3 linked regions of the Xenopus tropicalis genome follow. The protein of the gene in region 2 binds, or shares a complex with, the protein of the main gene of each other region. Links are inferred from orthologs where the notes say so. Each region holds a gene or a part of one and is shown on either strand. Other genes may lie near its edges.

Region 1 (11,032 bases), on a different chromosome or scaffold from region 2:
ATGTCTGTGTTATGCTGCGACACTCGTGAAATGAGCAGTTCCTAACACAGAGTCTATGGCAATAGTGTGATATAAGGGGTTGTGGAGAGGCAGCAGCAGCTGGGATTGCAAACAGTCAATATACCTGTATCTGCACATCCAACCAAGAAACTCTTTCTCCTCAAGGTTATTTGCATGTGAGCGCTCAAACCACCTGGTGGTGATGCTTTGAATTGTTACTTTGAAAGAATACTTTTAACACCAGCCATGTTTGTAGCAGTGTAACCTTGCAAGAGAGCGGTCCATGCTGCTGAATGCATTTGTACTCTGTGTGCTTGATCAGGGAGAAAATCCAGCTCACTGAATAGAAGCTCTGATGTGCGAACTCTAGGGAATCGTCATATTGACTCTCTTGGAAAGAACAATTCGGCCAGACCCCTTGCAGACGGAGCTTAGCAAAGGCTTCATTTTGTTACTCTCTGGCAAGATGTTTGAAATCACCAGGACCCTTAATGCTGCTTTATTAAATAATGAGGTAACATTTTGGCACTTTGTTATCCGACTCTTAAAATTTTCCATGCTGAAGTATTAACTGCAATAATGAAGAATGATTACATTGTTGTTGGTTTTTTTTTATTGAACGAAGATGAATTAGCCTCATTTAAATGGTAATTTTATGATTTTACAACAAGAAAAAAAAAACAAGATTTTTTTTCATGAAGTTCAAACCTCTCTGCAGCCAAAGGATTCATCAGCGCAGTCCGTTGTTGGTCCTTGTGACAGCACAGAGGTTAATGAGTGCGTCAGTCACCTGTTTTTGTTCTGTGATAGTACCAAGTGGGGCTTTAAAATCGCCCAGAGTAGGTGTTTATTAATGCTGAATTGGCTTGTGGTGTAGCCCATCTGGACGGTAAGAGATACTGCTGATTGCTTGTGATATTAAGATGTCTGTAACCTTTGGGAACAATGCGTGCTGGAGTCAGGCTAAGAGATACGCCGTGAACCCATCTCTTTTACCGGCATCTGCTACTAATGACTTACAAGGCTGCTCATATAGGGTAAGGAAATTCAGTTGTCCTTTGATTTGATTCTGGTTGATAAGCTTTGGAGAAGTTTACTTTCCTTTATGTGTCTTTGTATTCTTGTACTGTGATTTTTATTTTTACCCCCTCTGGATGAAGCTTGGAAGTCTGCATACTTTTCACTTCAGCGCTTGTGATGTAGAGGGACACGTCACTTTTCTGGAAATGCAGTTACAAGTGCGTTCTGTCAATCTGATGAAAAATTCTTCCTTTGTGATTTGTTTCTACTTATGTCTGTGCTCTGAAAGAGGTGTAGAAGGCAGTGGGACTGCTCTATAATTTGGGATGGCTCATGGCAGAGTCATTGGAGCGATGGTAACTATTGCTGGTATTAACTATATCACTCTGCGTGCTTGCACTGCTTGGGAAAGTTACAAACTGAAAGGGAGACTGAGCTGGTTGGCTGTATGAAATACAAAATTTTCCTTTGCATGCAGAATATATTCTCTATTAACAATTCTGCACTCAAAATAAGCATCATCCTTAACTATATTATATAGACTTTTGAATAGACATGAAACACATTTCTCCATTATTGTCCTACTACACATACAGTTACCTTTGTATACAACCCTTTGAAGGTCACATTAATACATTGTCAGGGTACTTTTTCTTAAAGGTTAGTAGCACTACACATGCATTTCTTGTGCATATATAATAGATATGAACTATAGACTGTTTTTATAAAAGCAAGAATTGTTATCTGTGAATATAACTTTATAAGGAAACATGTCCATACCGGTATAACATAATCAATTTGCGTATGTCTCCTTGTTCTGCCCTGTATTGCTAGTAAGATATACATGCATTCAGCTATTGCAGAAATGATTATTTTTGTGACCTTGAAACAGGATAAATCAGGATATTTGCTGAGAAAGAAGATGAGTATAACAACTGTTTCTCTTATCTGCCAAATAAATTCAGTGTGTACAGTCAGTGTATTTATACAGAATCTCTGTTTTGCCTTTTGTTGTGTCCAATTATCTTGCACTCGGTGTGTAAATAGATGTATACATAAGGAGGACAGATACAAAACAGAGGGGAGTTGACAGTACCATTTTGTTATTATACAAGTGCAAAATAGCTATTATAAAAACAGCTTCATAGTATACATTGTATTGGCCACCTGAGTAGTTTATGGATAACTTTTAGGCTGGGAAGATAGCGCCACCACTGTATGTGCAGATATAATACAGACACTTAACCCCGTGCTGATCCTACTGCTTAATGCATCTGTGCCACTTGGGTACTAGTGAAAAATGGAGATGCTGCAAGAGAAAGAAACTGTATATTGTTATACTCATTCCACCATGAAATTGAGATTTAGCAGTGCCTTCCCCTAACATGTTTATAGTAGAAGTGAATTGACTACCCTGTAAATTAAACCTGTGAGCTCCTAACAGACACTGTTCTCCTCTGTGGGATTGGTTTCTAAATTCCTCTGCTTCATGGGACACTTGGTGATTGCTGGAGGGTAGGCATTGATTTTTAATATTCTGCTCAGCCATGGAGACAAAAGAAACATATGGATATACCAAACAACAGAATTGAATTCAAGCTATTTTAAAAATGCTCCAATTTTGATGTATAGGATTTTAGTACAGAAAAATACTTGTTTCAATGAGTCTTAAGCAGTATTGATCAACACAGGCACTCCAGATGGTTTAAAGTCAGCCTGACAGAGCATGATGGGAATAATAGTTCCCAAAATCTAGAGTTATGCTCTCTTAACAGTTCTCCAGTTTAATCTTTGGTTGTCACTATGTATCTTACTAGCCATACTATAGAAATGGAAAATATAGAAGAATCTCTAATCACGCACAATCTTCATTGGGCTAAAGAAATGTGACCTCTTAGCATGTGGACAAAATGCTTTAGAGAGTGGTGTCCATTTTATGTTCCTGTAATAAATGGGGACTGGGGCACTTGTGTACATTGCAGAGTTTGTGTATGTCAAGGAACTTTATGACAATTGTCAAACTGCCCCAAACTTCACTTAGTTTTAAGTTTAAAATACATTTTTCATTATATTACTATAGATATAATGCACTGAGTTGCAATGCTGAAGTTGCTAAAGGATTACATTCTGATTATAAGATGCTGAGATCTCCTACCTTGAAATAGATAGGGCCCAGTACCTGGAATCTTACATACATTTCCCCTAAAATAGAAAACAACAAAAAAATCATATCCCAGAGAAAATGGCAAAGCTATTTAATCCTAAGGCACACAATGGTGTCCAGCATTTGGCCACCCACATGGACTACTATTCCCAGCATCCCCTGTCACTGAACTACAATTCCCAGCATCCCGATAACCATTAGGGTGTTACATCAGCAACCGCTGCAGGCCCAAAGGTTGAAAATCACAGCCCTGAAAAAAACTCTGAGCTAAAGGCCCAGAGTTGGAGGTGCATTTGTTAACTGCTTGGGTGCCAGGGAGCTAAATTTCTCTAAATGTAAATTCCCTGCCACATAATTTAATTATAACTCTTGGGGTTTTCCTTTGAAAATGTTTAGAAGTGCATATGCTTAAAAAGAAATGGAAAACAGGGTTGTTGATAAAAAAAAAATACATGGTTGTTGCTGGTGGATAGTATCTATATAACAGTTGCTAAAGTAATAGCCTTCCAGTTATTGTGAACTACAATTACTGTAATATTATTGTCACCAACCACAACACACACACAATTATTTAATTATTTTACTCACCCTTATATATATATATATATATATATATTTTTTTTTTTTTTTTTTAATAATAAAGTATAGTACAGTCAACAGCCATTTGGACTAAAACAGTTTACAATGATATGCTTGAGTCTAAAGGATACAGCTAGTCATTATTTATGTGATGCAAGGAACATTTCATTGTTAATCCCCCAGCCACTGGCCCCAGGGCTCTGGAAGCGTCTCATGTCAAAAGAACATCTAAAAAGCCTGCCTGCAACAGCAGACAAGGAGTTAAGATCTTCAGTCTGCTAGAAGCCAATTTCAATAGCACCTTATATAGCCCCACCTTCTCCAGGCCAGACAGCCAACCAGACGCTGGCTTCATGTGACAGATAGTCCCATAAATGCATGCAAGCATCTAGCCAATTTTCAAGCAAGGCTCAAGCCTATTTTCATATCTACACCCTACTTCTGAGAGGCATAACCACATTCTCTGCTTCTCCCTTTTCTCCCTTTGTTTTTTTTCTTTTTTTTTTTTTTAATTTTAGATTTTTGTTTTCTGGTTTTATTTATTTATTTTTGTTTGTTATTTTTGTTTGAAATATTTTAGGCGTATATATCTTTTTTTTTTTCTTGGTGCTCTCTGGATTAGGAACAAACAGAATATATATTATACATTAAACAAACAAAATTATTTCAATAAATAAAACCATCCCGAAGTGTCTGTTGAGAAATTGAAGAGAAATATCGAAGTCCGGCAAGACTCAATTTAATCCCATAAGAATGGTGATGGTACGTAATCCTCTCTTGTGTTGAAGTTCCATTCAGTTTGTGAATCTGTTGTTTCTGTGTCTGCACCTTTTGTGAATATGTTGCTTTACGTTTGGTCTTTGTTGCTTAAGCAGTGCTATTCCGCTTTTTCACTGATTTGACTCCTAGAAATCTGCTGATTAGAAGAAATATAATTTTTCAAGGTCATCTCTATGTTACTTGATAGCATCATCCTTATCAGTAAAACACCTTCAAAGACTGTTGTGTGTCTGTTCATCTGTCTATGCCTGTCCTGGGGTTATATGCAAGATTTTAGTTCTGCCATTGTGTTTTTGCACAAAAGACTCCAGGAACCCAAAAAAATGTAGAAAGACCAAGCCCCCAGAATGTCATCTCGCCTGCTAATTTCAGATGGGCTGCGCGTTCTGTATGGTAATCTTTCATCAGAATGATTTATAGGGACTCGGTGAATGCTGCATATTGTATTTCAGAGTTTCCTGCCGTGACCTCATAAAAAGAGGAGGAGGCTGGCGTGTGTTTGAGCGCGCACTGTGTGTGTGTGTGTGCGCGTGTGTGTCCTTCGTAGCATCGCTTGCCAGCAGTACTGTAAGAAGGAATGTCAGCTTTTACATAACGCTCTTTTTGCTTCTGACATTGTGACAAGCTACAAGGCTCCATCTCTATAGTCACAGATGGAGTGGAATGGCTTGAAGATGGTAAGTGACTTAGAGTGTATTGTATATTTCTATTTTTGTCTAATTTCCCACCCATGGTTATTTCTGAATGTAAGCAGTTATTTTGATTTTGGACCTTTTTTGCCAGTTAGGCTATATTCAATCGCCTTCCCTGCCGCTGCCAGCGTGTGTTTCAACCAGTCTGGGAGGGTACCTTGACAACTATAATGTCAATGCATGTCCATCACAGATTTACTTGATGCTGTGTAATCTTCATTTGAATTACATGAGTCTTTGGACGTGTCAGTTGTCGCCCCCCCCCCCCCCCCCCCCAGTCTGCCGCTGAGAGCTTTGTGCCTTTAAGCAAAAACGTCTGCCGCAGAAAGCACATATGTTAAATAAGTACATCTGTCCTTTCTTTTCTTTCCCCAAACCTAGACCATGTAACTACTTGACGTTCCTTTTGTATGGGTCTCTCACAATGAGTGTAAAGTGTCACACTTAAATCTTGCAGTCGTGACCTGCATGGCATGTCATTGAACACTGCGGGGACACAGGCGTAATGTACTCCCCTGACTGCAATTCAGACACCCCTGAAACCTGCCGTAGTGTTTTGCACCGCAAAACACTTTCTTGTTTCTAGAAATTGAGGCTCCGTTCTTCCCCACCCAGCTTTCCCATTCTTAAGGAATCATCTTTGTCTGTCTGCTTGTTTTGATGGCTGTAAAACAAACAAGATTAGACAGAGCAGTCGAACTGAAAGCTATAGCTTCAAGGGGAAGCTAGTGAAAGGTTGCCGAGGAAACAACCAGGGAGGGAGCCGAGATAGGGGAGCAGGTGGCAATCATTTGGGAATATTGCGAGCGCGTCAAAAAAAGACTGGGGCTACCTCTATTATGCCCTTCTTTGTGGCAGTCACAACTTTAATTATTCTTTACATATAGGTGCTAATTACATTGCTTCCACAGATGTACAGTGATTCGCTGAACAGTATATTTTAGCATCTGTCCGTCCGTAACCAGGGTGCCTCTCTTTATTTCCCTTTTGCCTACAAAGCAAGATCTTGTCCGTTCCTAGAGTGTAGATAATGATGCTTCTTTTCATCTCACATTTGTGCTTGCCATGTGTAAATGGGCAGAATTCTGTACTTTTATTTTTTTATCATGCAGTCACTTTACGGCCAAATTACAGATCTGCAGTCATTTTGCTATAAGAACAAAGGCAATTTCAGTGGGAACACAAGAAGAAAAGAAAATGTTTCTGTAAATGCTTTTCTGTCTTTGAGATCAGTCAGAAAGGAGTTTTAACCACCGCCAGTGATTCTGGATGGAGTGATAAAACAGTCACTTTAAAACACATAGCAGAATGTTTCTCAGATGTAGATGGACACTTTTTCCAGTCTAACCTTTCACAGTTCCCTTTGTTCTCACTGAGTTTTTACCCTGCAATCCAAAAAGAACAAAAAGAAAAAGGTTTCTTTGCATGGAGCTGTCACTTGGCTATGGTTTTTTAAACCCTCGGTCCTCACTACGAGTTTGAGGGCTGAGCAATAAATGGCAATTTATTTACATTGTAGTTGAGTTGTTATGCACTGTCATTCATGGCACATGTGAAATTCAAGGGGATATCATTCTGCACTATTAAAGAATGGTATATATAATAGATGGAATTTAGTGTAAACTTGACTTAATTTGACCTGTGTAGTCTTACAACCACATATACACTTGTGTTTAAGTACTTTCAGATCATAATGTTACTCTTATTTTTGCACCCTGTGTACCAGCTACTAAATATAACACATTATGTGGAAGTTAGAAAACTATGAGCAGCAATTACTCTCTTCTAATCTGCTCTTTGTTAAACCATGAAATATAGTCAAACATCAGTATAGGAGAACAGAAAAACCCTGTAATCGTATGATATACTACACTCTGTTGCACACAATATCTACATTTTTATTTCTATTTAGTAAGTAAATAATGTATAGCCAATAAAGCTTGTTTTGCAATATTCAAGCAGCTATGGGAATGCATGTATTGTTGTTGAATGCAGGTTCCCTTCCAGTCGAGTACAAAGATACAGTAATTTCTGACTTTGATCCTTATTGCAGTGGATCAATGAAAGCAGTGTATACTGAGATATAAATATGTGTGAGTAAATATATAAATATGTATATGTAAACATGCATTTTATAGGCAATTTAAGATAACACACGTTTATATACATATATGCCTACAAACATACATATATGTGTATGTACTGTATGTATGCGGTTTAAGGCGTTTACAGATGTGAATGGGCCCACCAAGAGCTAAATGGGGGTAACTATTATGAAGAACAGAGAACATTTTCATCAATAATGTGCAATGTATAGCAATTTCATTTAGAAAATGTGCTGTGGTGTACTTATTATCAGCATGTAGAAATTCCAGTGTTTCCTTATATGGTTTGAGTAGTTTTACTCAAGTTTTAGCCAGAGAGCCTGATAATATGGTAATTTGTTCCATATTTATCACTTCCTCCATGTCTTTTGTAATCACATTTCCCAGAACTCCCTGAGAAACTGATGATACTGTTCCCTTTTCCGGTACGCTCCATTAGACCTAATGTAAAAAGAGGTAAAATTACCCTTTTCATTTAGCTCCAGTAAACAGTTATAAGTCTGTGTATTGGTTGCCATCCTATCACACACTGACCAACTGATTCTTTTGTAAAGAGAAAAAAATGATTTTAAGTTCTCATGGTCTCATGGTTTGATCACGGTTTCCTTTATTCAAACTTTTCTTCCTGTTTGCCCATGCTTTGTTGTTTGTTGAAACAACGCTCACTTATAACCTATGCAGGAGGTCTGATCATTTTAGATTTCAGATTAAACATACAAAAATTTGTTGAAAAGAGGTAATCAAGAGATGTATAGGAGATGTACAGGAGCCCAATCAAGAGATGTATAGGAGATGTATAGGAGCCCAATCAAGAGATGTATAGGAGCCCATACAGATAACATAGGTATTGTTGTCTTAGTTTATTGTAATTGCTTGCATTGTGCTGAAAATTTTTATACAAAATACCACAGATATGGGATCTCTTATCTAAAAACCTCATATCCAGAAAGCCCCAAATTACAGAAAGGACATCTTCTATAGAGTCCATTTTCAGCAAACTATTCTTGTTTTTAAAAATGATTCCCTTTTTCTCTGCAATATTAAAACAGTACCTTGTACTTGATCCAAGTGAAAGATATAATTAATCCTTATTAGAGACTAAACAATCCTATTGGGTTTATTTCATTTTTAAATTTTTATTAGCAGGCTTCAGGTATCCAAGTTACAGAAGATCCCTTTTCCAGAAAACCCAGCTCCCAAACATTCCAGATAATAGACCCTTTACCTGTACCGAGCTCTATGGAGAAAACCATTGAAAATCACAGGGATGTATTGAAATATGCTGTACAGATGTAGTTGCATCCCACAGATAATATGTTCCCAACACCCATTAATATTTACTCTATGAAAGTTCTTTGTGACAAGCTAATATCTGAGTTGTTTCTTGTGTTACGTTGTAATAAGCCACTATGTTACAACCTTTGGTGGTTTTGTGCAATTAATGATTTTATAGATCCTTTCTATTTTCAAATTATTTCCGCAAATGCTGCAGTAAGGGTCTGCAATGACTTGGACCATTTATTTAATTCGTATGCTTTGGATGTACATTTATATTTTCAGGGATGCGATCTTCTCTTTTCTGGGAAATTAAATCCAATTCCTTTCACTTTCTTTGTTCTGAGAATCTCAGTGTCTCTCAGCAGCCTCTGATTTGCATGGATCCCCACCACCACCACCAAACACACACACGCACACACACCCTTTTGTTCAAATAAAGAGAACATCAGCATGGTCATTTTTTCACAACCTTCATACATTCTACTGGTTAGTTCACTAAGCTCTGTGGTATAGTAGGTCGTTGCCTTTAAAGCTTTTTGCCTTTAGACCCTAAAGTTCCAGGAGCCAATAATGTGTATACTGTATCTGTGTAAGGAATTATAAGAAACAGCCCACGGTGTATCTTAGATATACATGGACTTCTTAAGTTAACAGCCCCTCTAAGCAGGATATATGTATGTATTTATATTTATTTTAGCCTACAAAACAGCTAAGGATACAACACTGTAGACTGAGTACTGCAATGCAGTATTTTTTCAATGTCATTAGGATATTTAGGGGAAAGCAAAAAGCACTTTGCTGGGTAACGTTTCAAAATAATCACCAAATTCCATGTGGCTTTGCCAGATGGAGTAATAAACCCAAGAGATAACATAGCTCCTCCTTCTGCTATTCTATGTCTAAATGTTGGGAAGTGTGACTAATTAAGAAGAGATTGGTTGTATAAAAGTAGTGGGATGAACCAAACTTTTAGTGATGTGGGGTCCTCAGCATTTATTAGCAAAGTTTAATTAACAAAGCAGTTCTGAAATTCTGAAAAGAGATACATAGGTCAATTTGGAGTTCCTTTGTTTTGCTAAGAAATGTATTGTGAACGACATACACTTACTGCATTTAACTTACTGTTTGAATGTATTTCAGCTTCGTGTCATGTGTGCTCATGTAAGTGCATAGAGAGAAACAGACCAACCTATGGCACTGGAACTATGGCCACAAGTCAAGGGAAAAAGTAATTAATTTAAAAGCAAAGGAAAAAAATATTTTTCCCTGGTTCACTGTCTTTTCTAGTCATAGAATGGTGGAAATGGAGGTAGAACCCTCACCCTTGCAGATAAACACACGTGACCTTGAGGGGTGACCTGGTGGATAAAGTGTATAATGCTGAATGTTATATTAACATTTAGAAATATGCAGAAAAGACATTTTTGCAAGTTTTCAAAATTATACATACCATTGGCACTCATCTTACCAAATGACGACTGGTTTTACTTTAACCTCTTCTTCCATTTACATGACCGGTAGCATGGAGAACTAGTCTAACTGTAATATCTTATAGTTCACTGAGTGCAGTCACTATGTCTAGTGTCTGCTATGTCTAGCGTGAAAGCTGTGTTAAATATTTAATACATTTACTGCTCCCAAGTCCTCATTGAAGGAAATGGGTTAAATTAACATATAGAACACTGGTCTCGATAAATTGTGACAGGAGTCACAGCTGTCTGTATGGAACATTTGGTAGATTGTTAATATTTGAAGAACCTGTTGTATAAATGGGGGCAGGACGATGTTGAATGTTCAATTTGTCTTCTCTTTATCCATTGCATGGGGTAGCTGTCCAGTCTATTCTTCCCTTGACCTCTCACCCGGTATGTTGTCACATAAACAGTGTGCTGAAGGACGGCAAATTTAAATGCAGGAAAACAATCACTGCGTCCCATAAAAATAAGTGTTCAAAAGCAGCCATCCATAAAACAGAGTGATATTCACATAGACTGAAATGATTAAGATGCAAATATTGGTGGCTTCATGACACTTAATAACCCAACAAAAAATATGCGTCAACATAATTAAAATGGACTTTTATGATTTATTGCCTTTCAGAGGAAAATGTAATACTCTCTTTGAAGAGATAAGTAATATACTGGGATTTATTTCCAAATATTTATTTATTGTTCTTACTTTCTGCATGCTGTTTGGGGATTTCAGTGGTTTATCTGTTTATTCTATGTTTTATTGACCCATGAGCAAAATATTTTGGCTCTACTGGAATGACAAAAAGAAGTCTTAAACTGACTCTAGAGGATAATGGTTGTGTAAGATAATTTGCTAACAAAGTTATTGACCGCTTTGCCAGCATATTATATGCCTTCTATATAGCCTTGTGAAATGCATAATTCATATGAATGATCTGCTGA
Region 2 (10,869 bases):
AAACTATATATAGTTTTGAAGGATTTTAACTCTTTGGGGCACATTTACTAATCCACGAACGTCCGAAAAGCATCCGAATGCGTGACAATATACGAGCAAATCGTAACGGCTACGAAAAAGTCGCGACAATTCGCGCAAGTCGTAACAGCTACGAAAAAGTCGCAACAATATACGAAAAAATCGCAAAAAATACGAAAAGGTCGCAAAATGTTCGTTTTCCAATCTGAATTTTTCCCATTCGGATTCGTGGGTTAGTAAATCAGCCCCTTTGTGTTTTAGCTTGGTTGCTGAGTACTCTTAAGGTATCATTGTTGATAAAACAATTGTTTTTGTTGACCTTCCACTTACAGAGCTACTTTACAGTTTTTTTTTTTCAAATAAATATTTAAAAACATATACCCCACTGATGCCTCATTTAATGTAATTTTATTGGTATTTATTTTGATGAAACTTAGCAGTAGCTGCTGCATTTCCCACCCTAGGCTTATACTCGAGTCAATACGTTTTTCCAGTTTTCTTAGGTAAAATTAGGTACCTCTGCTTATATTCGGATCGACTTATACTCGAGTATATACGTTATATATATATATATATATATATATATATATATATATATCTTAGTTGGGATCAAGTAAAAAGTACTGTTTTATTATTACAGAGAAAAAGGAAATCCTTTTAAAAAATTTGAATTATTTGCTTATAATGGAGTCTATGGGTGATGGCCTTTCCGTAATTCAGAACTTTCTGGTTTCCAGATAAGGGATCCCATACCTGTATATTTTGTAACTTATATTTTATTAATTTGTAACTTATATTTTATTAAAAAGTAAAAAATATTATGAGCTACATCTTATAAGTACAGGTACTTATTATCCAGAATACTCTGGACCTGGGGGGTTTTCCGGATAAGGGGTTGTTTTTTAATTTAGATCTCCATACCTTAAGTTTACTAAAAAATCATATAACTGTTAACTAAACCCATTAAGATTGTTTTGCCCTCAATAAGGATTAATTATATCTTGGTTGGGATTAAGTACAAGGTATTGTTTTATTATTACAGAGAAAAAGGTAATCATTACTAAAAACTTGAATTATTTGCATATAACGGTCTATGGGAGATGGCCATTACGTAATTTGGAACTTTCTGGATAATGGTTTTCCGGATTAGGGGTCTTATACCTGTATACATTTGCAGTTCACATGTCATTGTGGGGGTCACAATGACATGTGAACTGCAAATGTATACAAAAATATAAGAGAGATGTCAATACAACTTTTGTTAGCTAAGGGCACAATTAAAGAAATCTTACAGACACATTTGTGGGATGTGCAGGAAATATAAGGGGCAAGGGAAGTGACACATGTAGAGGTATCAAGGCCCTATTGTAGTTACTGTAGGCCTTTGAGTTCACACATATCCAAAATCAATAAGAAGTGGGGGGTCCTGTTTTAAATATATGATATTCTGGACTCAAACTCTTTGTAACATTTGTACTTTTCTGAGCAGAATACCTTTCTGTGTCCTTGTGCATTGCTGATAATGTTATAATAATGAATAGGTAGAATAATAATGATACAATGGTCAGTATTGTCATCACTGTGGCTCACTTCCCATTTACAGAATTTTAGCCTTTGGAATAGTGATTATCATTTTAAAACCCATATAGGCATTTTGAGAAATTTTGAGGCACTGACTAAATTGCTTCTCATTCTCTTTATTTTAAAGTTATTTACTTATTTATTATGTTTTTTTAAACAACTGAAAAATTTGTGCCAGGGCCAATAGGTCCATAGTTACTGACAATATAGTTTGCAGCAATTTGACATGAAACACTGATTAGTGGGTCTAAAATACAGGCTTCAACCAGGGGAAATAATATTTAGATCTTTCACAAGAGAAAGAAATCAACATTGTAGTGTAATGGGGCCATTTCACAATGCCACATGTAGGGACCAATAGATTTTAATTTTTCCTGGAATTTACGTACGTGTAGACGCCATCCCCTGGGATACATAAAGTTGGAATTCTATTTTACCAAGGCATTTGCTAAATGTAAATCTTTCTGGGGTTATGATGAATCCCATACTAAATCTTGAAATTGCTGTCACCCTCAATTTTAATGAAATCGGGGTGCTCCCTGGGTGAAGACATAAATTTTTGGGATGGATAAAAAGGCTGCCAGCCCCAACAGCCTGTACATCGAAAAACTCCAGACAGCACAATTTTTGCTGCTATGCCAGTTCCACGTCGAGCCAGAAGGGGACAAGCAGGACTCTTTGCAGTTCTTGAGCCCTTTTACCTTAACCTAAATGGCCAGCTTACTTGATAATCAATTACTTGGCCATGTGGGGATCTGGCAAATAAACATCTTTCTGCTGTCCTAGCATGAGTGTGTGACTGACAGATCTAAGAACAGTAGGGTTGCCACCTGGCTGGTATTACCGACCCATGCCACCTGGAATGAAAGATAACATAACAGAAAGGCTGGCATTTGTACCAAAAAATGGCAACCATGATAAGGATGAGGCCTCAAATCAACTTTTGCCATTGGGATTATGGGACTCTAGCTACAAGACAAGATTGATAACAAGCCAGTCTCATAATGAAACAAAAAATAAGGGGAAACCCAGCTTGTCACCTTAATAAACCCTTTTCTTCTCCAGCATAAATTGTGCCATAACAACATATCAATTGTGGAAGCAGACTGCTCGAATCATATGGGTCCACCAGTGGGACCCCAGTTTCAATAATGTGGATGAAATATGGTTCATCCCTAAAAAATTTTTGGGAGGCCTTAAAATGGTTTTACTGTGATGCAGGTAATATCTAATTACAGAAAGGTTGCCAGTTTTTGTATTTGGGGTGCAGCATGATACCAGTGTAATTAATAGGTAATATAGAGGCCGGTATTTTTATTATTTTATTTTTATTTTACCGGTACCTCTTTGCTAGAGCTTTTATGGAGTGTAAAATATTTATATTATGGGTAAATGGAGAAATTAGGTGTAGCCCACTTTAGTGACAGTGCTGCTACCTGCTGAGATCTTATGGCGCTAACAGGGATCCTGAGCCCCACTTACTTTGGGGGAACAGATGTTACTTTACTTAATGGCGTGCCTCCACCCAGGTTAGGGACAGATTGAACTGTAACTCCCCTCCTGAGAACTTAATGCTGTACTGTATTCCCTGGTCAGGGACTCCCTGCAACTCCCGGTACCTTTCCCCTTCCCTTTGGGGTAGCTGCTTACCAGGCAGTGAGGATCGTCTTTGTACGAAGAGACCAGGACACTGGTATGATGTTGAACCAGTAGAATGTAGTTTATTACTTGCAGACAAGTAGATTATACAGGAGCACACTTATATGTCAGGTTACACACACTTCCCTTTGGAGACCCTCTCTCCCTGGGGTTACTCGCGGTACTCCCGCCAGATGATCCTTCTTTGGGGTTCCCTCTGGTACTCACGCCAGAAGGCCCTCTCTAGGGCTCTCCCTGGTACTCCCGCCAAGCGGACACCCCTCTGAGACCTCACGCCCAAGCACCCACTGGATTAGGTAATCTCCTTACCTGACTCCAGCTATGAGTGCTATCCCACTCCTGTAGGGGTGATGACTACCCGTACTAAATAACCTGTCTCCCACTCCTAGGGGCACATTTACTAACCCACGAACGGGCCGAATGCGTCCGATTGCGATTTTTTCGGAAAATTATCGCGACTTTTCCGTTACCAATACGATTGTTGCGAAAAAACACGAGTTTTTCGTAGCCATTCCGAAAGATGCGATTTTTTCGTAGCGTTAAAACTTGCGCAAAAAGTTGCGATTTTTTCGTAGTGTTAAAACTTGCGCGAAACGTCGCGCCTTTTAAGTTTTACCGCTACGAAAAAAGCGCAACTTTTCGCGCAAGCTTTAACGCTACGAAAAAATCGCAACTTTCGGAATGGCTACGAAAAACTCACGTTTTTTCGCGCAAATCGTATTGGTAACGAAAAAGTCGCGATAATTTCCGAAAAGTCGTAAAGGCGCCGAAAAAAATCGCAAAAAATACGAAAAAGTCGCAAAATGTTCGTTTTCCAATCGGAATTCTTCCAATTCGGTCGGAATTCGTGTCTTAGTAAATCAGCCCCCTAGAGTGAGCTATTATCTCCAGATCTACTATCTAAACACTAGCCTGTCATTAACCTCTGTCCAGAGGGGGTCCCAGGCAGAAAGACCTAGCAGCACATGGCTGCATTCCCTTATATACCTAATGCGCTACCCAGTGGCTGCTAACTAAAACTGCAGGGCTACTCCCTGTTAACTCTTAACCTCCCAAACCACCCTTGGGAGCCTGTACTAGGGGAATCATCCTAGAGGCCCAATTTTGGAGATCCCTACGTAGGTATGAAATATTTTCTGAATTCCATTGTTTTTTCCATTTGACTAACTATTAAGATTACTATTTTGTATTATCTGTTTTTATATTTGTTGGCAGGATTATGTGCTTTTTTCTGCCACCTTGTGTTAATGTAGACATTTATCTTTAAGAAAATCCCCGTTTCTGTCCTGTCTATTAAGGCAATATCTGCTCGGGGATTGGCCAGCGTCACATTTTTCCCGCCTCTCTTTATATTCACTCAGGGTTTCCTGCTCAAGGTTACAGGGTCCCTCATGCTTCAACAACCACACTAGCATTGTGTCTGAGAAATCTTCCGACCAATAAGCGCTCGGCTAACTTGTAGGAGCAGAAGGGCTGTCTTTACTGCTGTATTCTGCTTTGCGTTTGGCTGCTGGCTGTAACCATAGGCGGGTTTCCCTCTAGCTTATTGGTTTTATGTGTTGTCGATCTGAGTGATTTTCCGCCTATTAGCCCAATAGGATTCCGAAGTGCTTGCGCTGGGCGCCTTGATTGGGTAGTTAGGAACAGCAAGTTTGGCTGCGACGTTAGTATATGTAGCCGGCAGCTGAGCACGCCGCTGCTTGTGCCGACGCTGTGTGAGGTGTAAATTTATCTAGGCTTCTACGGAGCGCCAAGCCTGCACCAAGCCGGACCTTTCACAGGTACGAAGACCTTAAACATCCTTAGGTTACTCTATCAGAGCGTTGCGTATATTTTTGATACACGGTGCCTTTGTCGCTGCATTACCTCATGTCTTTCCTTGACGTAACGCGCGCTTTGCCTCGGGTGGACGCGGCCTTTATTGGGTTGGTATAGAGACGCGGTGTGCTCCTCAAGGAAGCGACGGAGAAGATGAATTCGAACCCGTGTGCTTTTGTTTTATGGCAGAAAGGACCGTTTTACTGTCGGCAGAGAGGGGCACTCGGCATCACAGGGGCACTTTAGGGACTATGTAGATTAAAGTATGCAGTACCTATTCCATAACATGTTAGTGTCAGTAAGTAAGGGATTTACTACCAGCTTCCACCACTTTCAGGCTGTGTTGTAGTCTTATCTTTTAATCCAACTTCTATGCAGTTATGTTCCCTCAATGGGAGCTCCAGACTTACTGCATTGCAAGGGCCCTCACTTTATCTTTAACTTCGGTTCCGATGGCAAGGTCAGCCATTCTGAAAACTGTCAGACTCCGTTTGAAGCCTAGGGGGCTTCCAGAGGGCCATACATTAAGTATGTTCTTTTGTTAGGCTTCTTTGAGGAAGGACCCCAGGGATTGTTATTGGTCACCATCTTGACTACTGATAAATATATATATTTATTTTTTTCTCTGTGCCAGAATTTCAGAGGTGGGAAAGTGTACCCTTAGAAGAATTTGTTAATGTTTTTGTTCCAACTTAGTCAACATACAGACTTAAGCCATTCATGCCCAGATTTGGTTGTCCAACATGGCTGATTTTGACCAGATTCTGACCATTTGAATGAGTATGTATGCCATGTTTTGGGGGTCTCCTTATTGGGTATGATTGAACATTAAGCTCCTCTTCACTTCTGGTGTTTCTGATCTTTTGTGCAGTCAGCCTAAAGCAATGGAACCGTGCAGTGGCAATACATGTGTACATATGCCCACAGGTTGTAGAATAATATTGTATGGCTAAAAGTTAAGTATCTATTGTGCCAGCACATTTACGCATAGATATACAGAGATTATACACAATTCCCATTAGCTTCTGCCCTACTGCTGCTTACAATATAAGTACTATATCAGTTTACACAGTGGGGGCAGTTATATCAGGACCCAGTTAACCTGCCTGTATGACATGGCAATATCATTGGCAAAAATCCTTGGCGATATTGCCTTACTTAGAACCAGGCACGGTAGAAGTGCTACCCAAAGATCTGATTTGTTACAGGAGAATTTAACCTCTTTATACTGTTTCAGTTCCCCACAGAGGCTCATTTGCCCAACTTTGCCAACCTGTACACCTCAAGGAGGACCCCATTACAGGGGAGTGGCTCTATTGTGATTCATATGTGGGAGGTTTTTTTTTTTTCTGCAGTAGTGATATGTGGGCTTCCCTGAAAACCACAGATTCGTGCCAACAATTTGTGAGTATTGAGCCAAATTTGCCGCCAACCCAACTGCTCCAAGCCCCACTAGTTCTTCAACTTCCCCTTACCCCTCTAATAAAAGTGTAAAATCTAAAAATAGTTGGGGCACTATGTGTTAGGGTTGGGTGCAGGTTGTAAATAATTTTGCAAAAATACTTTGCAGTGCACCAAAAGATTTAGGACAACAGCTTAGGACAATAACTTGTCAAGATGTGCTTCAACAATATTCTTTCTATACTTCAGTATGTTTGTGTGGGTCAATTAATAGACCTTTTCTTTATTATTATTATTATTATTATTTTTTTTTTTTTTTTTTAAATGTTCCCTTTCAGCATGGTTACTCCAAAGGTTTGAATGCCTGCCTATAATGAAATTGTTCAGCACTGTAAAGTCTACACTACCAAGGTCACAAATAAGCTGAAGAAATAAACAAGCAGTCTTTTAGCCCAGTCTCTCTCGTGAGGGCTACTGCAATATCATGGTGCGGGATGGACATTCGCCTAGGTTAAGTGAGGGGAAGGCTCTTTAAAGCAGCCCATTGCTAAGGGAGATATATTCTTGTGGCTCTAAAGACACATTTAAAGGTTTTGGAATTTTAGTATCAAGACCTGTTGCAATTTAGACATCCCTGTTCCAGATCTAAATTGACATCTGATTTGACAGCTCCTTAGATCCCAGAAGGGTTAATAGTCTTATGACTATGTCTTTCAAGAGCTGTATGCGATCAATTTGCTGCCACTCATGAACCTGCCTAACTGCCAGTGGGTCTCACGTTTCTGCTGTAATTTGTGCAGGAAATACTCAATACCATTTAATTGTGCTGTACCAGATTATTATAATGAAACTTTATTGGTGGAATATTGGTGAAGCACATCTTGACATGTTATTGTCCTAAGCTGTTCTGCAGCAGCCGTCATGAAGGTCTGCACTGTGCAATTACTAATCATAACACGAGTAAACCCAGACAATATAAACACCTTATTACATTACATTACATTAACATTTATTTATAAAGCGCCAACATATTCCGCAGCGCTGTACAATAAGTGGGTTACATACATTGGACATACAGAGTAACATATAAAGCAATCAATAACCGATACAAGAGGTGAAGAGGGCCCTGCCCAAAAGAGCTTACAATCTACAAGGAGAAAGGGTTGAGACACAAGGTGTGGTAATGGGCATGACCAGAGTTGTGAGAGGTGGGGCACAGGGTATTGCTAAACTAGATTAGGGTAAGCCTCTCTAAATAAATGTGTTTTTAGAGATTTCTTGAAGGCAGAGAGATTGGGAGAAAGTCTGACAGTTTGTGGGAGCGAATTCCAGAGAAGGGGGGCAGCCCTTGCAAAGTCTTGAATGCGAGCGTGTGAGGAGGGAATGAGAGAGGAGTTGAGGAGCAGGTCAGTAGAGGAGCGTAACAAGCGGGTTGGATGGTACCTAGAGATGAGTTCAGAGATGTAGGGTGGGGCAGAGTTATGGACTGCTTTAAATGTGAGGGTCAATAGCTTGAATTTTATCCTGGATGGTAGGGGAAGCCAGTGCAGGGATTGGCAGAGCGGCATGGCAGAGGAGGAGCGGTTGGAGAGGTGTATGAGCCGGGCAGCAGTATCTCAAGCACTGCAGCTATAACAATACTGAAGGAAATGCTTGCTGTGCAGCCCTGTGGCTAAGTGGTTAATAGAGATTATCCATATTTTATTTACATACATCTCTATAGGTGTGCCTTCACTTAAACTATCATTTTTAGAAGGGCTTTTCTCAAGAAACTTCATGTTAAAATTACAGCCACAGTGTTATATTGTCCTGGGGCTGTTCGGTGGCAATTGGTTATGCTGACTTCATCACACATACTCGACTGTCAATCATGATTTCTCTTGGATATTTTACTAATCATATTACAGAAATTTTCCTGCATTTTTCCTAATATGCCCCTTCTTAGAGAAACTATAACATGTAGTTTAATTTAGCTTTCCAGCCTTCTCCTTGAATTTGCATTTGTATAGGCTTTCGCCGAATTCCTAGCAGTCTTAAGAAATGTGAGCAGGAGATATTACCAGTTGCCATTAATAGTCATGCTTGTCTTGGCTAAGCTTTCAATGTGTAATGTAGCTTATCTTATTTTATTTTGCTTTAGTGTTTTCCACCTTTTTTGACCTGACTTCCTTGGCGTTATTTTAGAGGAATTTTGTTGTCTTTGTATGCTGTTGCTAGAAACAATTCAACCATTATTGCATGGTTACATAGTAATTAATCTGAGCCATGTGACAAGCAGGCTTAGAGATGCTGAAGTCACAAACTGTAATAAGCTCATTAGGCTTCTTGTATTCATTTAAGTTAGAAGCTGTGTTGCAACTTCTAATGTTAGCCCTCCCTATTTAAAAACACTAATGGAATGTGTTGCTTAAGCCTGTGCAGTCTTGTTAAGCTGTATCGTCCCTTAAAAGAAAACTTTTGTCATGCAACTTTTAAGTTACCTATTGCCATAACATTTTTATAGCTAATAGAACATTAGCCCATATAATTTTTAGCTGTTTCAGTTATCAATGATTTAAAACAGTTTTGTTGTAAAAAAAAAAAAAATAGAATTTAACAGGTGTGGACTCGTCTTTTAACCTTTTATGTGTCTGCAAACGTTTTACCGTTGTGCTGGCAGCGTGCTTGCACATGAGATTTGTCTTCTAAGGTAAATCTACACTAAAACAGATGACGGACCGTCTAAAAATGCCCCTTGCTTAAAGGAACAGTAACGCCAAAAAATGAAAGTGATTTGGAAGGCTTGTGTAGTGCTTTCAGTCATGCCAATCCATTGGTATGTTGTGCACTTTGGCAATGCGTTAAACTTTGCTGATCTGATGGCCCAAGGCTTCTTGATGAAATCACTGAATGTATTTTGGTTTGGCCAGAGACCTTATAGTTGTGCCAGTAATGGTAATCGCTTTCTTCATATTATTTGCTTTGATTATATTTTTGCATTTTGTAAACCATTTTTCCCCCCAGACCTGGCCTAAATTATATTTTTAATATTTTTGTTTAGATTTCAGTTGACCAAAGAAATGGTGATGGAGAAGCCAAGTCCCCTGCTTGTCGGGCGGGAATTTGTGAGGCAGTATTATACTCTGCTTAACCAGGCACCAGACTTTCTCCACAGGTATGTTTTACACAGTAGAGCTTTACCTTTATTTTTTTTTTATTCTTATTTATTTACCGTATATACTCGAGTATAAGCCAATCCGAATATAAGCCGAGGTACCTAATTTTACCTAAGAACTGGAAAAACGTATTGACTCGAGTATAAGCCTAGGGTGGGAAATGCAGTCGCTACTGCTAAGTTTCAATAATCAAATAATTAATAAAAGGACACTCGGCGTGACCCTCTGTGAACTCTTCATAAATATATCATGTTGGCAGCTGCAGATTAGAAAAGGTGATTAGGGAAAGGTGGATGGAGGACCCTTTGACCCTCCTGCCTTTAAGTTTATGCCACAATAACAGCCTTCTTGTAATCATGCCATTGATTTCTGATTAACCTCCTTTTATCGCAAAATAATCAGTATCAAGAAGACTACATACTTGTGCTTGAAAGTATGTAGTCTTTTTGATACTGATTTAGCACGCACTTCTCTCTTTGCTATGGAAATCTACTTTAGAATTGTTACAAGCAGAGTCTGAGAGGCTGTTTTTTGGGGTGTAAGGCAAGGGCCCCATGGCTAGAAAATCATCTTAAAAAGTACAATTGAAATAATTTTAGATAGTGTTCAATTACCCGATTACCTGCTTCAGTTTATGCCAGCATGCGTGCCATCCATGTGTGTGCACCCATCCACGCTGCATACTAAGTATCACTGTGCTGTCCCCCCACCCCACCCCGTGCGCAACAGCACAGTGTCCGAGTATATCGACTCGAGTATAAGCCGAGGGGGAGTTTTTCAGCACATTTTTCATGCTGTATGTAAACCGGTTCAGACAGATGGTGTGTTTTGTTCCTGCATCTACATCTCACCATCAATGTGTTTTAATGAGAAACAAGTCTGTCAGACACAATTATATTTTCTTGTCGGATTAAGATGCCGCATGCACTTTTTCCTCAGACAGGGTGTGGCTTGTTGGATGGCAAATTTTTCATATAGTTTACACATCAGATTTTTCTATTAGTTTTTTAACCCTTTCACTGCCAGCCGTTTTGGTCAAAGAGGAACTTGTATTGCCAGACAGTTTAACATTTTGCACTGTTTCACTTTAGGGGCCTTTCCTCGGGGGAACTTTTAGTCTTAATGTCTAAAAATTTAAAAAAATCATATTTTTCATAATATAAACACATACCAGAAACAAAAATTTTATGCACAAAAATACAACTGATTTGGAAAGTCCCATGTCTCCTGAACGTGC
Region 3 (11,076 bases), on a different chromosome or scaffold from region 2:
TGGGAGGGCAATGGCACCCCTAGTGGTCATTAAAGTCCTAAACCTTTATCAAGTGGCAATCAATAAGACAAGGCAGGCAGTGGGTTTTATGTCGTACCTCACAGATGTGTCTCTGTCAGGATCCACCAGCTTGTAGAACTCATCCAGTAGTGTCAGCTCCTCCTCCGACACCACAGGGACCCCATTTAACCCTTGCTTTAAGTCGTTACGCACTTCCTCATCCCCCAGTTTATCCAGAGCAAACTGGAACTCCAGCACTGTCTTTAAGCGCTTCTGTTCGGCTTCTTCCCGCATGAGCTGCTCGCGGCGGGCGGCTTTCTTGGTGGTTTTCTGGATCTTTAAAAGCAAAGGAACAGTTTCCCTTTATATGGGGCTTTGTACAGGTAACATTTACTGAGCTCCATTTTGCTCTTAGGGCGATTACAGCTAACAGTCACTATTATAGTTCCAAAATGTTCCAAATACCTGTGCTGGGTGCCAATACCAATTCAGCCATGACTTAGGGGCAGGAAGAAGCTTTGACAGACTGTGCCAGCACTAGCAGCCATGGGAGAAGGGGATATAGCAGCGGTAGTATCAATAGGGCCACTTAGGGCCAGGAACTTTAGTGACTGACAGAAAGGGTTCATTCTGGGTAACATTTAATAGCACCATGGACCAACCTATGGAAATCTAGAGGAGCTCTGATGCCAATTGCCAGTAACTGCGTTGTTCAGTGGATCAGGACACGGCCCATGAAATGCATTAAACTGCAACCAACTATTGGATGGGCTCATCCCAATACTGATAATTGGAGGTTAAAGAGAAATAAAACCACTTACATCTTGACCCAATGCCATGAAATTCCTTTGCAGTTCACGGGCAAATTCCATGCTGATCACCACTTCTTGATGTTTTGTCACTGCATCCTAGGAGGAGAGGGAGGAATAAAAATGTAGTCAGTAACTCTGAAACAAAGCCAAATCTCACTCCTGTACCAGTGAGGGAAAAAAAAAACGGTTTGGAGAGAGAAATTATGTTTTCAAACAGTTGGGTCCCTACTAGACAATATCTTCTCTTGGAATTTTTATGATGTTCTACAAATCTATCCATGCTTTTGGACCAACTAACCCAAAGGAACATCACAAGGCAATGCATTTTGGGTTATGTAGTTCCTGCATGCCATCCATAAGCTGTGGAGAAGTGGTTACAGTTTGTAATATCAAATGTTTTAGTCCCTCCTCCCCTGCCTGGATTTCAAATTATGCTGAAAGAGAAGAACTGTTTTGCAGCTGGATTTTGGCATATAAAATGGTATTTATTTATTACAGTGATAAGGATATTAGGGGTTGCTGTGTTGTGTGGGGCTCAATGAGTTTGGATTCAGAAGCTGGAGTTCCCCTTTAAAAAATACAATGTATTTTAATGTACAGTATATCCTATAAGAGTTCATATAGACATTATCTATATAAAACAGAATGATATGGGTAGTACAGAATCCCCTTAAAGGGGGATTTTATTCAGTTACAGCTTGCAAACTTAATAAAAACATTATGGCCTCTGCTCAAACAGTTCCATCTATACAGTCTTTGCCTGGACAGTGTGTACAAAGCCATGGAGCCAGCGCACTTAGCTGGCATTAGTGTAAACATTTTAAAATGCATCTTTACCATTTGGTCCTGATTTAAGCGTTCTCCCTTGTTTAGCCGATCCTGGTAGTCGTCCAGCTTGCCCTACAGAGAGAATAAGAATGGATTTAGAAATAGAAACAGGTACGTGGGCGACATAAAAATGATAGTAGGAAGGATGTTGCAAAGGGCCTATAAACGTCTTTTTGCGAGGTCAGCAAAACCAGCAGCGATGCAGATTGTGTACAGCACCACGTGTGTAGCACTGGCAGTCAAGCCCCCAGAAAAACCAAGCCACTTGGTCCATAATCTGGCTGTGATGGAGGATGCAAAGCTCATAGGCCCATAGTGTTAGTACTCAATCAATTTGGATTGCTATATAGCAGATGGGCGGCCTGATGTAGACTAAAGGTGACCATACATGGTTGCTTGGTGAGGTTGCGAGTAGATCTTCTCCCAATATTCCCTACGGGTGGGCGACATCAGGCTAATTTGGTCGTTTGGCCCTGGGGCCAAATGATCGAATTAAGAAGCGGGTATAGGCGCCAACGATCCGATGGAAAAGTCAAACCTGCCCAATGAAGATTTGGCTGCTTTCAGGCCAGATGTCGGTCAGGAAGGCTGTTAGTGCCCATACATGGGAAGATAAGCTGCCGAATAGGCCAGTGTATGGCCCCTGTAACTAGCGGCCCCACAATGGATCCAGTCTTCCTTGCACTACACAGTATGACAAATAATGCCATTAAAAAAAGATCAATACAATTAGCAGTACTAATGGGAGTGTGTGCTCAGCAGATAATAATGCCTCTGCCGCCCGTCCAATGTGCTTATTTGTCTGTATGCCATGGTGTAATTCTAAAAGAATTATAATTGAATGTATGGCTATGGCAGAGGGCACTGTAGCTTGTGAATGGAAACTCCCAGGTAACACTTCCAAGCCAGAGTTTATATCTCTCAATAAAATAAACCTTGTACATGATATGAAGCACCTTGCGAGGGCTCAGTAGTGAGGAGTCTATAGAGGCAACGTCATGGTACGAGGCTCTGTATTGGGAAACCAGTGAGCAACACTTGCCAGCACAGGCATTTCTGAACTTTGCTCATGCCCTGCAGTAAGGATGGGAAAGATGGGAAGATGATGCAGCAGAGAAACCCTGACCTTGGAGCGAGTGCAGAACTAGGGTAAATGAAAGTGAAAGCGTTGGTTGGGATGCAGTCGTTCCCCTTAGAACCAGGAACTACAAATGCGGCCTCTGGGCAGAGCAGGTAATGACACCACCCACATGGTGCAGTGTAAACATCACTCTCCAGCTGCACCTCCCAGTTCCACCAATAAAACCCAAGTGCCTCGAGGGATGTTGGGCTCTTAGTAAAGAAGAACTGCCATCCTGGGCGACGAGTATTCGAATACAGCCACATGCAACGGATCTTACCAACTTGCTGGGATTAATACTTTTGAAATGTGCGGAGCTCCGGACTATGCGACCATTTCCTTCCGGTGCTGGCCACGCCCCCCCCCCCCCCGGGATTAATACTTTTAATGCTGGCCGCAAGGCGATCAGCAAGATGCAGGAGGGGGTTGTACATACAGAGCTCATTAACGCCAAACTAAGTCAGCTGATGCAGCAATATCCCTGGACTGTCACAAGGGACCCCTGGGTGCTCATGGGTAACGTATTAAGTGGAAGAGAAGCGCCAATGTGGGGGGCCCAAGGCTAGCAATTATATTCACTGAGGGGGGCCTAATAATTTGCCACTCCCAGTAATGGGGGCACTTGGGCTAAAACACGAGTAAAACACAAGGTCACTCAGTCTTGCCGACCGTCAGGGCTCTGTGTTTACATTCATACAGCCAATGTATAACTTGCTCCTAAAATCTGTTCAGTGTGAGGGCCATGATTAGGGGTTTATTAAGAGCCACTGTAACCGACAGCAATTGTTGTTCTTTGTGAAACCAGATATTCCGAGTGCCTGGTGAAATTCCTCATGTTTTCATTAACAGTGAAACTTTGTAACCCGAGTAAATCATACAACTGGTTGTGTAGGTGCGGAAAGCAGGACTCCCAGGCAATCCGGCAAGGGCTCAGCGCATTGAACAGAAAGCAAAAGATTATTTATCTTTAGTCACGAGGAAAGAAACAGCCCTACCCGATACTGTGATTGTAGCCATCTACCACTAAGTCTGGGTGCATGTCCAGCACATACTGAAGTCACACTGTGCAAGCCTGAAATATTGTGCCATGGACAACCCTAGTGCCTAAAGCTGGCTACATGGGTACCAATGTTATTGTAAGGAATCAATGCACCAATGGCTATGGGGGGGGGGGGCTCACCTATGCCAGCCAACATGCATGGGATCGGCAAGCCATCAAAAATACAAGGTACATTTGTAGGATATAATTGGTACATGTATGGCCAGCTACGTTTGTTAAAATATTCTCTCTATGGCTAGCTGGGGGTTTGGGGCTCAGGCAGGTTTCAAAGTCATCTGCCGATACACCATGTCTTGTAGATTGTAAGCTATTTTGGGCAGGGCTCTCTTCACCTCCTGTATCGGTTATTGGTTGCTTTATATGCTACTCTGTATGTCCAATGTATGTAACCCACTTATTGTACAGCGATGCGGGATATGTTGGCACTTTATAAATAAATGTTAATAATAATAATGTCAGCCTGTGCATGGTGCGACAGCAAAGGGGAGCGTTAACAGTAGCCGCCACTCCTTTACTCTTCCTGCGGTTTTAATCATTTTCGCTCTTTGCACAAATGATTGGATCAAAAGAAAAGCTGCCATACTGAGCATGGTCCCCTGTACACTGTTTGATCTGCTTGTGGGCTAGCCAGCGTGTACCCAATCAGCCAGCATTTGACTCTTTAAGATGGCCATATATGGGCAGATTTTAGCTGCCAATTTGGGTCCTTTAGAATGATTTGGCAGCTTATCAGCCCGTGTATAGGCACCACTCATGGGCCAGAATTGGGCAGATGTGATTTTTCCATTGGATTGGGAGCCGCATCAGCACGTTGATGCGGCCCCCGATCAGACGGTGCCTTTGCCCATCATTATAATTAGATTGTTTGGCCTAGGTCCAAACGATAGTTAGCCCAATTATGCCCACCTTTAGGCGGGCATATTGGGAAAAGATCTGCTTGCTTGGCAACCTCGCCAAACGAGTGACTCTTCCTGTGTATGGCCATCTTTAGTGTGGCACAGCAGTTAGGCTGCAGCCTTACGGGGCTGACTCTCTGCCTGCAGATAAATGAAGAGAATTTACCCCTACACTTCAAACAGCATTTCCACGTTCCACTGCTTAGGCTCAGGTGCAGGCATACTTGTGCATTGCGGAGCCAAAATCCGCTCAGTCTGCCTGCACAAAGGCCCACAGTGGCTCCGGGTGCAAGCACATCTGAAAGTTGTTTGGAGCATAGGGGGGAATTCTTGGGCCCACATTTATTCACAGGCCAAAAATCAGCCCCATGTTGCTTAGCACTAACAGTGCTTGGGTTCTAGGTTTGATCACAGCCAGGGTAATATCTATAAGGAGTGTGTAATTTCTGCTAGTGTCTGGGTGGGTTTGCTCAGGGTACTCCGCTTTCCCATCACACAAACACATACAGACAGGCTAATTGGCTCCTGATAACCATGACCATAGGGACCTTAGATCAGAATATCCATCTGCTAGGGCAGGGACAAAGATGAACAATGGCTATAAAGTGCTACGAAATAAGTTGGCACTACATAAATTAAAAAGAATAATTGAGTTAGTTCAGAGTGTAAGGAGGAGAGGGAAACTATTGACACAAATAGTTGTGTTTAGTAGGGCTAATTTATATAGTGTGCAACAGCAGTAGAAAGCAAGGAGGTAAACGGCATAAACAGGGCAAGGGATTAGATTACTCGGCCTGCCGGATGATTAATGTGCCAGCAGTCCCACAAGCTTCCAGTGTCAGATCAGGCACAGCTGGCTTCCTTGGTGCCTCTCAAGTTATCCCGGGCCCCAGCCTTCAGCGGCACTGGCTAAAGCATTAGGAGCACAAACCTTTTTCTTTTCCAGATTTCGCAGCTTCTTATCGATGATCCCCAAGATCTGCTTCATGGCTTCGCTCTGCATGTTGCACGTGCCGGGAGCTGCATCACTGGAGCCCGGCACCGCTTTGCTGCTGGTGGCTGAGGGCATCTGAGAGAGGACAAAGATCAATGTTATACATCAAAACTACTGGGAGCTAAAGATCCTACATTAAACTAACGCTCGGACTTGAACAACAAACACCCAAACACTGAAGATCCTAATGAATGAAACACAGGAGCTCACAATGGGACCTGAACGGTACAGCTGGCATCACACTAGCCCGGGCATTACTTTCCAACACAACAGTGGGGTAGTTAGACCTATGGCAACACTTGCACCTATGGCACAGAGGGTGTTTCTCTGCCAGCACTTTTTTTTTTTAAATAGAATCCACCTGTCACTAGCACTACCAGCAGATCCAGCCACAAAATGCATTCACGCTTTCTGGCTGTATCGCCTGGCACGACTAGCGACAGACACATCCCATGTAACCAACGTGCAGGCACTTCTCTGCCAGTCGAGATTTATTTGGTTAGGGTCCTGTCCCAGGCAATGTTCAACTGCACCCTCGCCCTGACTGGCACCGTATAGGTATAGGTAATATAGGTACCTGATGGCCACCCCCCTAAACCTACCACCTTAGACAGGGGCCCTTGAATATGTATATATAAATACAGCCCACCAATGAGCCATAGTCACCTGGCAAAGCCGGACCCTACGGTACAGAGCAGCGGATCCGAAGCCTTGTGTTCCCACTTTAATATGTTTTGGGGGCAGATATCCCTATTTAATCCAAAGCACATCCATAACCCCCACCCCAGAACCCCCCTAAAACTCCTAACCAGGAAAGATGGCTCCTTTGTCTGAAGCATTAGTTTAAGGGCAAACAAACTAGCTTTATTCGATTGGACATAGGCCTACAGTTCTAGGCTGGCTGCTGGATCTGCCATACTTCTGCCCTAGGCTGAAACTAACTACAATGTACATAGAGACGTATGGAACAGCGCTCCCGGTGGCAGAACGCTATAAAGCTCAATCGTTCCAACCTGTCCCCGATCCGGACGGCGCCTCTTTACGTACCACACACGATTCATATCGCCATAAGTTGCCGCTGGGCGTTCTGTCGCTTTAACTATCGCGCCGGTAGTTGGCGACTAAACCCGCTAAATGTCCCCTCCCACAACCGCCGGTGACGCTTTGGTCTCCGCCCTCTCCCTCCCGTGAAGGAAAGCCGCCCTTCCTTTGTACTCCCGGTAAGTGTTTCCCGCCACCCTTCCGGTAACGGGAGCTTCCCGTAGCCCCGCCTCCGTCCCACTCCCACACCTTTCAGTGTCTGCCGGTACAGGGCTTGAGCGCTGGTCGCTGTGTGATCTTAAAGAGGAGTCGCTGCCACTCCGCCACTACCCGCCGCACCGAGCTAATGAGGCCGAGACACAGGAAGCGGAGGGATTTTACACTCGCAGGGCCCTCGTACCGGGCTGCCCTCCCAAGTGCCTGATTCCAGCCGACTCCTTACTTTCTCCGTAGCGCAACCAAACCTCACACGAACTGCTTTTCTTTCTCTCAGAAACGGGGTAGTGCTTACACTTTCATCTAAATAGGCAAACCTGTCCAAATGTGTGCGGGTTCTTCAGGCACCGCAAGGCCTACCCAAACGGACAATGGAGAGATCCGGCAAGCGTGCTGAAGGGCCTCACCGCGCCCCAAGAGTTAATTGTGGGCTGTCCGGCAAATGCCTGCCCAGAATAGCACATGGGAGTGCGATGCACTCAGCATGGCATGTTCTCTTGTTACACAGGAGTGTTGCTCATAGGCCTGGCATTACAAAAAGAAAGTTTCAAATGTTTATGTTATGTAGGCACAGGATTTAATGATGTTAGTAGTAATAAACTGAGGAGTTCAAGTTCATTGTCAGGCCGTACTGTTACTTTCAAAATCCCATTGTTCCTTGATGTGTAGCCACGGTTTTCACTAAACTACTTCATACTTTGCCACACATGGAACACTTTTCTTCATTAAATTTTCCCATCCTCACCTTTCCCCACCCATAGAGAGCTGCAAAATACTTTCCTTTACATCAGGGATCCCCAACCTTTTATACCCCTGAGCCACATTCAAATGGAAAAAGTGTTGGGGAGCAACGCAAGCATGAAAAAGGTTCCTGGGGTGCCAATAAGAGCTATAATTGGCTACTTAATAGCCCCTATGTGGACTGACAGCCTATAGAAGGATCTGTTTGGCATTATACTTGGTTTTTATGGCACCAAAACATGCCTCCTTACCAAAAATTCAAAAATAAGCCCCTGCTTTGAGGCCATGGAGAGCAACATCCAAGGGGTTGGGGGGCAACATGTTGCTCACGAGCCACTGGTTGGGGATCACTGCTTTACATGCTCAGTACTGGCTGAAGGGCTACGAGTTGAGACCAAGTCCCAGGGTTGGACTGGAGGGTGCAGGGCCCACCGGGGCTCCCACCCCAGGGGCCCTACAGGTGCCCCCGCCGGCCGCATCCCCTAAACCCCCCCAACTTCCCATAGGGTCCTCCACGGGGCCACTGGGGCCCACAGGGATTTCTTCTGGTGTCCCAGCAGCCCAGTCTGACCCTGCCAAGTCCTGACAGATTCTAAAATCGGCCCTGGCATTTAATGTACAATATTTTATAAATAAATGGACAAAATAGCCCCCACAGACCAAATAAAAAATGTAGTCTATGGCATCTTACATTCGTATTAGTCCAGGCAGGGGGTGTCTGAAGTGAAGGGAATTGACAAATGACTGCTGCATCATTCAGTGCAGGTTTACAAATTAAGCTGCCCACACACACACTAATATAAATTGTACAACACAAAGTTTCATACAATTTTCGGACCATGTGTGATTTCCAAATTCTCATCCCGACAATTTTCTTACCATGGCAATTGGTCTTTTAGTCAATTGGACAGGTTGGAACATTTCGGTGGGGCAACTATAATATCTGTTGCATGTGTTGCCTATCTGACGATCTCCTACAACCTACAATGTATTTCGGGGGCCATAACTTTTTTATAATTGTTGTCTGGCAATTATTAATGGCAAAAACATTGTCAGATTTGTTATTTTTAGGACTTTAATCCTGCAATTTCAGTCTGAATGTTAATTCGATATCGGAATGTTTGTCAATAGATGACTAAAATCTAAACGTGTATGGCCCCCTTTAGTTTGCTAATTTGGAAATCCAGACAGGCAGTGTTGGGCCAGACATCACTGATGTGATCATGCCCACCCCCAGAATCACTGTCAGACCCCTGGTAACATCAGTCCCGCCCCCTGCTCAGGTTTAACCACCGGCAAAGGTGGCGACCCTACCTACACCTTGTTTGATGCCAATGTAATTAAAGGGAAAGAAAGATAAGAATATAGGCTAGTATTTTTTCCAGAAAAGGTGGCAACCCTGGGGCAGGATAAAAAGCTGTATAATAAAAGTCCTTATCAAATTAAACATGAAACCCAAATTTATTTTTATATTAACACATCCAACCCCATTATTAAGGCATTTAAAAATTCCAGCTGTCAATCATATATTGCCTGCCCCGCCTCTATGCCTTAGGCAGACACTTACTTTCACTTTCCATTCAGCACTCACTTTCTCCCTCCCTTCTCACCATCTAACTGCGTAGCAAGTGCATGGGCATCAGGTCCCCCATTCTGGCACATACACAACATTTTGGGGTGATACAAAGCTTGCCTTAATAACAGTGCCCACAAAATGGCACCTGCCTGCTGGCTGTGACTGTGTAATTCCAAGACTGAAGGAAACAGGTCCCCTTTAAACTAGTGTTACATTGGCTTTATCTAGGTTTGTAGAAATATGTTAGGGGCCTGGTCAGTAAAACAACAGCTGAGGCAGAGTATTGAGAACAAAACAACTATGTATTTGCTGGTAAGTTTAAAGGGGACATATAGGATAAATGGGAAAACCGAATAATATACGGTGCTGGTTTCACTTTGGGCTAAAAATAAATATTATCTGTAAAATGGCCCCTTTATTGGGGCTCCCTACAGATCCTCTCAGGTCCCTTGCCCTATTCATTGAAGAAATTCTGGACCAGGGGGTATACTGTCCCTTTATTAGAAATGCTATAAATAGTTGAAAATAACAAATTATTTATTACTTCATAAAAGTACATAAAAACACTTTGGGATACGAAATAATGTCTGGACCTTGATAGAAGTGGTAGCCTGACACCCATGGGACCCTTGATGCATTATTGCACAGACAGAACTACTGACAAGGCCTCTTCCTGCTCTTTGTTTGCTAAAGCCCTGCCCATGGACTCTGCACGTTTCAGACTTGAGGGGGCATGTACGGCATGAGTTCTGAAGCCCCTTCTCCTTCTCAGACTGGGCTGGGCCAGGTGTGGATCAGGAAATTCCCAACTGGGCCAGCACTGCTTGGTATGCATTGCGTCTAGAGCTAAGTTGGCCTACATTGATATACAGCACTGACCTTAGGTTATAGGCCGGCAACTGGACTCGGTATTGAATAGCACAGCAACTCCCAGACAGACATTGCTCTGATTCTAATAAGGGATTGAATCACTCTCCAGTGTACTATATGTATCCATATGTATGTAATGGGGCATAGGGGTGATGTCAGGCAGACCTGTCTTGGGAGTCAAAATAGGCCCAAAAAATAGTGACTGACTATGGCATCTTACAGCAGCCCCTCTGGCATTTGCTGGAACCCACAGATTTCCGGTCAGGGCCTGATGTCATGTTATAATAGGCGTTGTATACAAGTCAGTGAGCGCACATAACCAGTGGCACTGTATGAAACACTTGTTCCAACAAATAGACCCCTGGGAAAATGTGGGAGTCAGCGAGTGATGTGACTCATGAGCATAATGTTCTGTACACAATTTCTCTTTGCTTCAGTCTCTAATTTTCTTCCATTTGAGCACAAAGCTGGTTATTTGCCTCTTGACTGTTCGTTTTGCCTGGAAACTACCTGTTACCTACCTTTTTTCTCTACTATAGAGATACCCTACATAAATCAAGGATTATAAAAAACATCCAGTATTATTATGAGGTTATCGCTCACTATAGTTGTCTGATTGGCTCCATAGGGATGCCTAATGCAGCCGTACTGCATTAATGCTGACTGGCCTGACTGCCTGATGTCTGGTGTGAAGATAATGCTTGCACTACTATCTTATCTCTAAATGATGGATAGGAGGATGGAATAGCTGATACATACAGTACTAATTACTGTGCAGATACTGGCTGGGAGTTAGAAAATACTTAGGCTAGTGCCCCATTCCCAGCCTGTGAAAAACGCTGGCCGAGAATCAGTCCCTACGCTGGCGCCAGCCTGCTACCTTGCCCGCACAGGGAAGCATTGTCTCCGGCCTGTGCAGGCA

What was found.
Region 1: g3bp1 (region 2) and elavl4 share a complex: the UniProt entries of both Homo sapiens proteins name them as parts of the TAU mRNP complex. The link is inferred for Xenopus tropicalis from reciprocal best matches to the Homo sapiens genes G3BP1 and ELAVL4.
Region 3: the proteins of g3bp1 (region 2) and caprin1 are in contact, whole or in part, in a crystal structure (PDB 8TH7), measured with the Homo sapiens proteins. The link is inferred for Xenopus tropicalis from reciprocal best matches to the Homo sapiens genes G3BP1 and CAPRIN1. Residues at the interface, in NP_005745.1 of Homo sapiens: Glu4, Lys5, Pro6, Ser7, Leu10, Val11, Glu14, Phe15, Arg17, Gln18, Thr21, Leu22, Met29, His31, Arg32, Phe33, Tyr34, Gly35, Lys36, Gln58, Lys59, His62, Leu114, Glu117, Asn122, Lys123, Phe124, Tyr125; in NP_005889.3 of Homo sapiens: Met363, Gln365, Met366, Gln367, Gly368, Pro369, Tyr370, Asn371, Phe372, Ile373, Gln374, Asp375, Ser376, Met377, Leu378.

The regions. Positions count from the first base shown.
Region 1 is NC_030680.2:95,688,273-95,699,304, forward strand, and holds the start of elavl4 (ELAV-like protein 4), read left to right. Parts: upstream 1-5,157; 5' UTR 5,158-5,196; coding exon 5,197-5,220; intron 5,221-11,032. UniProt on the Homo sapiens protein: RNA-binding protein that is involved in the post-transcriptional regulation of mRNAs. Plays a role in the regulation of mRNA stability, alternative splicing and translation.
Region 2 is NC_030679.2:16,831,587-16,842,455, reverse strand, and holds the start of g3bp1 (ras GTPase-activating protein-binding protein 1), read left to right. Parts: upstream 1-4,967; 5' UTR 4,968-5,039; intron 5,040-9,517; coding exon of another isoform or gene 9,518-9,536; coding exon 9,537-9,631; intron 9,632-10,869. UniProt on the Homo sapiens protein: Protein involved in various processes, such as stress granule formation and innate immunity. Plays an essential role in stress granule formation.
Region 3 is NC_030680.2:15,334,071-15,345,146, reverse strand, and holds the start of caprin1 (caprin-1), read right to left. Parts: upstream 7,082-11,076; 5' UTR 7,001-7,081; intron 6,823-7,000; exon of another isoform or gene 6,772-6,822; coding exon of another isoform or gene 6,724-6,771; intron 5,786-6,723; coding exon 5,648-5,785; intron 1,713-5,647; coding exon 1,650-1,712; intron 909-1,649; coding exon 822-908; intron 337-821; coding exon 98-336; intron 1-97. UniProt on the Homo sapiens protein: mRNA-binding protein that acts as a regulator of mRNAs transport, translation and/or stability, and which is involved in neurogenesis, synaptic plasticity in neurons and cell proliferation and migration in multiple cell types.